Linked DNA regions of Sus scrofa. The protein of the gene in region 2 purifies or fractionates together with the protein of the main gene of each other region. This does not show direct contact. Links are inferred from orthologs where the notes say so. Each region holds a gene or a part of one and is shown on either strand. Other genes may lie near its edges. The genes, in order: TMEM9 and CLCN5.

Evidence for each region.
Region 1: the proteins of CLCN5 (region 2) and TMEM9 purify together in Homo sapiens (co-immunoprecipitation; 3 studies listed by BioGRID and IntAct, with this or other methods). This does not show direct contact. The link is inferred for Sus scrofa from reciprocal best matches to the Homo sapiens genes CLCN5 and TMEM9.

Annotation. Positions count from the first base shown.
Region 1 is NC_010452.4:23,597,149-23,601,479, forward strand, and holds the start of TMEM9 (transmembrane protein 9), read right to left. Parts: upstream 2,842-4,331; 5' UTR 2,797-2,841; intron 2,369-2,796; 5' UTR 2,332-2,368; coding exon of another isoform or gene 2,266-2,331; intron 1,025-2,265; coding exon of another isoform or gene 933-1,024; intron 1-932. UniProt on the Homo sapiens protein: Transmembrane protein that binds to and facilitates the assembly of lysosomal proton-transporting V-type ATPase (v-ATPase), resulting in enhanced lysosomal acidification and trafficking.
Region 2 is NC_010461.5:43,781,749-43,785,556, reverse strand, and holds part of CLCN5 (H(+)/Cl(-) exchange transporter 5), read right to left. Parts: intron 1,026-3,808; coding exon 926-1,025; intron 1-925. UniProt on the Homo sapiens protein: Proton-coupled chloride transporter. Functions as antiport system and exchanges chloride ions against protons. Important for normal acidification of the endosome lumen. May play an important role in renal tubular function.

The DNA.
Region 1 (4,331 bases), on a different chromosome or scaffold from region 2:
ACAAGAAGAACCCCCAAATCATGGGAAACTCTCATCTCAAAGCTCACCTGATGATCCTGATCTCATGAGAGCAGAGGCAACACTGACTAGGTCCCCCCCACCGCACGGGAGGCTAACCTACCCACAGTGACCAGATTGGGCTACACCCTGCCTGTGCTCAGACCCCTCCAAGGACGAGGCGCCCCGGCTCCTAAAACAGCCTGGAAAGTACCTGTTCCACTCACACATCTGTCTGCCTGGAGCTCGCACCCACTGGCCGCAATCCTACACCCAAACCACACAGGGTGGGCACCTTGCGGCGTGCCAGCCCCTCTCCCCTGTGCCCCCAAGCCCTCTCCTTTTCAGAGGACTGTTCCTTAGACCATTCCTTCCAGGAAAGCATGTTGACGCTGCCCTTGGGCAAGCTGATCTCCTTTCCCTGAATGAATTTTTTGAATGGTTCTCTCTCCTGTGAAGCGAGGCATTCGGAAATGAATTTGGGACTCCAGGAGTATAATTGAAATTCTCTTTGGGCCTCAGTCTCTGCACTCATAAAATGGGACCACAGCCCATCCCACTGCCTTACAAGGTGGTTATGAGGTTGGCACCAAACTGACACGTGAAATGGAGCTTTGCCAAAGTGTCAAGTAAGCAGAAGCTCCCACAGTATGTGGCCCTCATACCCACCTCTCCCGACTTCTCTGGTGCCCTTTTGCGGATGTGAACAAACACCCGGGTCAAAGCAAAAGTACAAAACCCATTCCTCGGACCAGGAACCCCTAAGCTGGTATTCAGAACATCTGGATCCTATTTCTAATTGGTTGCGTGACTAGGGACAAAATATTCTTTTGTAAGATTCTCCATGGAAATGGGAGAGTAAGCTTAACCTGCAGAGGTCCAAGAACCCCCGTCAACACCCACAACTTCAAGGGTCAGTCTGGGCAATGTCTTACCAGTCCTTCTGTGACACATTCTGGTTATAAATGTGTCCACTGATGTTTCTATACGGTGGGCAGATGCATTTGCACCGGATATCTTCAGAACTCTGCAAGAGAAAGCACCGGTCAGGTAGCCGGGGGCCCAGGATACAAGCTCTAGCAAGACTCAACTTTCGGTTCCCTGTTTCACAAGCTGACCATATGAATGATCTTTTTTTTCTGCCTTTTAGGGCTGCACCCAAGGCATACGGAGGTTCCCAGGCTAGGGGTCAAATAGGAGCTACAGCTCTTGGCTTACACCACAGCCACAGCAATGCAGGATCCGAGCCGTGTCTGCAACCTACACCACGCTCATGGCAATGCTGGATCCTTTAGCCACTGAGCGAGGCCAGGGATTGAACCTGCATCCTCATGGATCCTAGTCGGGTTCGTTAATGGCTGAGCCACAAAGACAACTCCCCATATGAATGATCATGACCTTTGTCCATCCCCAAGTTCAGCTGGAATAACCCCTGTAGGAAGGATGCTACCACATAGGGTCCTGTAGAAACTGTCCAGGAGGGCAAATGAGACTCAGGGAAAGCTGACTACAAGGGCTGCCATGCTCAGGTAGACGGTGCTGGGAGAAGGGCAAGCGAGGTGACAGTCCTCGGCCCTGGGCCTCACACTGCTGTGTGTCCCTGGATCTAACAGTCTTGGTAGCTAGCCTTGTCCCACAACCCCACCTCCAACTTCCTAGGTGAGCTTCAGGGAAAGAAAAGGTGGGGGTGAACCCGAAAACGTGGACGTTTCCATGGACACCCTCTGGAAGTCCTCCCTCTGGGGAAGGGTCAGTTAAGACACAACTTCCATTCCAATTAGGAATTCCTCAGAGGAAGTGGAAACCAATCTTTAGACTCAGTCTGATGCGGTCTTGAAGGTCTTCAGAATCTTGAATTCCACAGACCTGCCCCCATCCAGCTCCTGGCCATTTACAGGAAACTAAGGCAAAGAAGTATCTCCAGGGAAGCCCCCCCCCCATCCTGGATCCATGCAGACCTCACCCCCAGTCACAGCCATGCACTTCTTACACCGCTCAAAGCTCACCACCCCTAGGTCACCCAGAAGCAAAGGAAGGTAAGGAAAACTTAGACTTCCCCAAACACAGAACCCAGGCTGGAATTCTACCTGGGGCATGGGCGGGCCAAATCAGACCAGCGCGCAGCAGACCACCCCTCTCCCCGGCTCGGCTCTCTGGGAGGCCTGCAGTCTAGGGCCGCCAGAACACCCCCAACAGGGCCCACAGGGGAGTGAGAAGCCGGGAAGCAGCAGCACCTCCCCCCATGGCGGCTCCTTGCCCCCCACACACCTTGTTGGCTTGGGCTGGGGGCACCAGCAGACTCGCGACCACCGCCACCAAACACAGCAGCTTCATGCTTCTCAGGCCTGGGGGGGCCGGCAAGACTGCACACCTGGAAAAGAAATACGGAAGCAGAGAAGGGGCGGATGGCCACGCGGCACACTCAGCCCCAAACCGCCCCGCTCCGGTGCAGGAAAGCGGTGGGAGCTGGGCCCGGGGTCCAGAGCCTTCCTAGCCCGGTCGGCGAAGACCACTTCCATCTACCCTAGACCTCGGGCTCCCACTGCCCACATGGAACGCCCGGCAGCGGGACCTCCTGGGCGGGGCCATGGGCCCTGGGTACCCGAAACGAGCCTGAGACCCCCGCCTCGCGTCCCTCCGCCCTCCGCCATAGCCGCCCGCAGTTCCTCCAGCTCGGGCCTAGGAGAACTCCGGGCGCGGAGTCCAGGAACCTCGACCCCACCGCCAGGTCGCGATGGATCCCAGAGCCCCCGCGACCCCTAAGACCCCTGCACCCCTCCCCCAACGCACGTAGCTAACCTGCGATCCCCGCCGCAGCGGCACAAGACCCGACTGGCCCCGCCCCTCCCGCTTCTATTGGTTGCCGGAGCGGCCGCTCAGCGCTACCTGGTTGTCTCCAAGGCAACGAGGCCCGCCTCCGCGAGGGCGCTGAGGCTCCGCGCAAGGGAGAGGGAGGTATTTCTCAACCCCACCAGACGGGAAAAGGGAGCGTCAGCCAAGCGAGCGAAAAACCGGTAGGGTCTGGTTTCCGTTAGGCTGCAGAACCCCACTGCGAAGCTCGCCCCGTCCTCATATTTAAAACCCAGGGTTTTGGAGGGAGCTTAAGCTAGTCAATCTTGTCTTTTTAAAGAGAAAGCACTTAGTAAACAATAAAGCCGATAACCACAACACGATAAAAGCAGACTAAAGGGCTCTGTCCTCATTCATAATGTGAAAATGTTATTTGGTGTCAGATCTTTGCTGCAGAGGGCGGCCCCACCTCCCCCCAACCCCCCACCCCAACCCCGGCCGCCAGGAGGAGGAATAGGGGCGGCTAGGGGCCCGTAAAGAGTGCAACCCTGCAGGCCCAGCCTGGTCCCCCTGCCTGGGTGCTGGTCTGGACCCGTCAGGTAGGGGCAGGATGTGCGGGGCGGCGGGGGCTGTCCGGGTCGCTGAGAGGCAGGAGCGAGCTCGTTACAGCTGCAAATGAAAGAGTCTTCAGGGCTTCGACCCTGTGAGGCCACATGGGCTTTGGTCCTGCTCTGCCATTAAGCAGTGGTGTTGCCTGGAAAAGACACCTCCCCTGTTCTGTGCCCATTTCCTTGTCTGTGAAATGAGTTAGCTGGATGCTGCGGTCCCTTTCAGTCCATACTCCGGGATCCCTGGGGTGAGGTGGGGGCTTGACATGGCCTGCAGCCCTCATGGGGCCAGTGGCCAGTGGTGGGCACTTCCTGTGGGCATGGTTGGGCTTGTGTTGGGCCTTCCTACTGACATGTCTCCTTCCCTGCACCCTCATCACCTGCAGAGTCCCTGTGGAATTAGAGTCAGCCAGGCAGGAGGATGGGCAGGAGGTGGGGGGAGCACTACGGTGTGACACAAGCTCACAGGCTTTGGAGCTAGGATGGCCAGGGCACCAAGCCTGGCTCCTCCCTTCCTAGTTGTGAGAATTTGGGTGGTTGGCTTATCCTTTAGGGAGCCTCAGTTTCCACATCCATAAATGGGTATGATGTGATCAAAGCACCTGGACCACTGGGGGGGGGCATCTATCAATGGAGACCTTACCTCATTTTGGAGGTTAGAGTGACTGCTTTGGGGAGCAGGCTGGGGCAGAAGGGGCAGTTCAGGCACTGGAAAAAGACCCTCCCCCCTCATCTACCTCCCATGTGAAGGTGGGGACTTTCTTAGGGACAGAAGAATGGGGCTGAGTCTCGGTCACCTCCAGTGCACGGTCCTCTGACACCCAGGGCTCAAGGTACCAGGGCCTGTCTCACCACCTTCCCCATCAAACGGAAGCCAGGCCTCCCAGGTTCCTTTCTGGCCATCATCCTGCATTTCTCAGGTCCCAGACTGTGTCA
Region 2 (3,808 bases):
AGCCATATCTGACATGCTTTTCTTTACCCCCAAATGAGAAAATGGATATTTAAGAAAGCTATAGGAGTTCCCTCTGTGGTGCAGTGGGTTAAGAACCTGACTGCAGTGGCTTGGGTGGCTGTGGAAGTGCAGGTTCGATCCCATCCTTGTGCAGTGGGTTACGGATCTGGCGTTGCTGCGGCTGTGGCTCAGATTCAATCCCTGGCCTGGGAACTTCCATATGCCATGGGTGTAGCCAAAAAAAGAAGAAAGAATGAAATAGCGACAAAAATCTCTCAGGAAGTCCTCTCTACATCTTCTTTCCTAAACCCCTTGTCATATGTGTTAAAAAGGGGGGGGGGCGGAGGGGGGTGTTCCTATCGTGGCTTAGTAGTAACAAACCTGACTAGCACCCATGAGGTTCGATCCCTGGCCCTGCTCAGTGAGTTAAGGATCCAGCATTGCTGTGAGCTGCGGTGTAGGTCACAGACGCAGCTCAGATCCTGTGTGGCTGTGGCTGTAGCACAGGCCAGCAGCTGCAGCTCTGATCCAACCTCTAGCCTGGGAACTTCCATACGCCGCAGGTGCAGCCCTAAAAAGAAAAACAAAAACAAAAACAAAAAACAGCCTCCAATGGAAAGGCTCTTCCTCAAGACAGGCACCAAAAGGCACTGCTAATAGCACGTTAACATGGATACAGTATCTTAATAGCACACAAACATATTTGAATGCATTTCCTCATTAAACCCCATTTATTTAAGGAAGGATATGAGGTATGAACCCTTCTTTACTGATGGGGACATCAAGCTTCCAAAAGGTCCCCTAGCAGTTCCTTTCACATAGGGAGATGCTGAAGGGCAGCCTTCAATTCAGTTCATGACTTGGGGGGAAGGGCACACCACGCTTTTAGGAGATTGGGTTAGAAAGCTAACATAGTTGGCCATACCTGATAACAGCCCAATAAGTAGCATCAGCAACCAGCCAGAAAAAGCATCGCTCACACTGTGAATTAAGGCCCATGTTGACTCTTTGCTTTTATTGGTAATCTAAGGAGAAATGAGAAAACATTGATACCTTCTTCGCACACCCTGGCTTCTTCACCTCAAAATGTGCAATACAGTAAACACACACACACACACACACACACACAAAGACAAACCTATTCTTTGGTAATAGAGACCAATGTGGAGTTACTTTCTCAAAGCATCTTTGGCTAAACCAACATCACTGAGAACTTGGCAGTGTATTGAACCTTGTCTTAACTGCACCCCACCTTCATCTGCAGGACTGCGATTCCTACAGGTACCGCTTCAGGGCAGCTCTGTTCACCTGCTATTTTCCTATGGCATCAGTGTGGTTTGCTTATGGCAGTGGTCTCTTTCTGACCTGGACCCTCAGATATTCCAAAGATGGTCTCTTGACTCACAGCAAATAGTCTGATTGTTTTTCAAAGAATAAGCAAACATAGGCTTATGTCAGTGGTGAAAGTACGGTTGGAGGTTTACTTCCCAGGTCAGGCACATTCCAAGACTCGATCCCACAAACCCCTAACTGTATGGTGATCGATCATAGATGCCAAATGATGGCAGGGATGATGCTTTGCATTTTCAAAAGCCTGCTGGGAATAGGTGTGGCTATCAAGAGGTGCAGAAACTTTGTGGGTTTTTTTTTTTTACCTTTTAGGCTCTACCCTTGTCAATTTAACCTTGCAATGCTCACATTTCAAAACTAAGCATTTTGGAGTTCCCGTCGTGGTGCAGCAGTTAACGAATCCGACTAGGAACCATGAGGTTGCAGGTTCGGTCCCTGCCCTTGCTCCGTGGGTTAAGGATCCGGCGTTGCCGTGAGCTGTGGTGTAGGTTGCCGACTCGGCTTGGATCCTGCGTGGCTGTGGCTCTGGCGTAGGCCAGTGGCTATAGCTCAGATTCGACCCCTAGCCTGGGAACCTCCATATGCCGCAGGAGCAGCCCAAGAAATGGCAAAAAGACAAAACAACAACAACAACAAAACAAAACCAAGCATTTTGACAGCTTTGTCACTGGTACTTCTCCCTTCTCTGTACCTCTATTTCTTATCTTTGGAACCATAGCATAGCTACCCCGTCTTGATCTACAGTGACAGCACAAGTAAAAATTACTATAAAAATGTAAAAGCACTTTAAACATTGATTTGGAGAGGGCACGGTCTTTAGGGCATTAGCCTGCTGTGACCTCCTTTGCTTGGCAAAGCAATAAAGCTCTTTTTATTCTCCTTCAAAAAAAATAAATAAATAAATTCAGGAGTTCCTATCATGGCTCAGCGGAAACGAACCTGACTAATATCCATGAGGATTCGGGTTCAATCCCTGGCCCCGATCAGTGGGTTAAAAGGTTAAGGTGTGGCCGTGAGCTGTGGTGTAGGTTGCAGATGTGGCTCTGATCCCGAGTTACTGTGGCTGAGGTATAGGCCGGTGGCTGCAGCTCTGATTCAACCCCTAGCCTGGGAACTTGCATATGTCACATCTGTGGCCCTAAAAAGCAAAAAAATAAAAATAAACAAATAAAATAAAATAAAATAAAAATTCATTTTGAACTATGCCTTTACGTTTCCAATGTAAGTGCTGAAAAGGAGATGAGGTGACATTTTTCCCTGGGACAGTGTTTCCATCTAGATGATGAATAGTTCATGCTAAAAAAAAAGAAAAAGCAGGTCTCCTTTGAACAAATGATAAACACATTTTAATTGATTTTGAATTATTATTAGCTGATAAAATGTGTCTCAGATGCAGCCATTTTGATATCATGAGAAATGTGCCCTTGGCATATCACAAGTGGCTTTTACAACCTGAATAACATGTGGAATTAGCAAGTGACAAAATGAACTCTGATTTACAGAGAGCAAAAATTCTAAAGCCGTAAGAGTCTATGTTTTAAAGCCTGACGAATGGGAGTTCCCACCGTGGTGCAGTGGTTAAAGAATCCGACCAGGAACCATGAGGTTGTGGTTTCGATCCCTGGCCTTCCTCAGTGGGTTAAGGATCTGGCGTTGCCATGAGCTGTGCTGTGGGTCGCAGATGTGACACGGATCCTGCGTTGCTGTGGCTGTGGTGTAGGCTGGTGGCTACAGCTCCGATTAGACCCCCTAGCCTAAGAACCTCCATATGCCGCAGGAAGCGGCCCTAGAAAAGGCAATAAAATAAAATAAAATAAAGCCTGATGAATGAATTGATATAATAGAAAGAATATGTGTGTGTGTTCCCAAATAGCAAAATCTTTTTTTTTTTTTTTGGCTTTTTGCCTTTTCTAGGGCTGCTCCCGCAGCATATGGAGGTTCCCAGGCCAGGGGTTGAATCGGAGCTGCAGCCGCTGGCCTACACCAGAGCCACAGCAACACAGGATCCGAGCCGAGTCGGCAACCTACACCACAGCTCACGGCAATGCCGGATCCTTCACCCACTGAGCAACGCCAGGGATCGAACCTGTAACCTCATGGTTCCTAGTCAGATTCATTAACCACTGTGCCACGAGGGGAACTCCCCAAATAGCAAAATCTTAGTAAAAAAAAAAAAAACATTTTCTAGAGATCACCCTTCTGAGTTAGGAGAAGAAAACTTGGTGGGATTATGACAAATCCAGGGATTATAAAGACATTTCTCAAAACCTGAATCTGGGACAATCTTACTCCTGGGTTCAGGGGGTCCATGAGAAAGAAAGCGAGTCAGGAGCTGGGGAAGAAGGAAAGGGGATCTTGAACTTGACTACTCAGGTGATTCCCTCAGGTCAGAGAGGAGAACGTCATGAATTCGGGAGAGAATGGAGTCAACTTCAAAAATTAAAATTTTTTGGTCTTT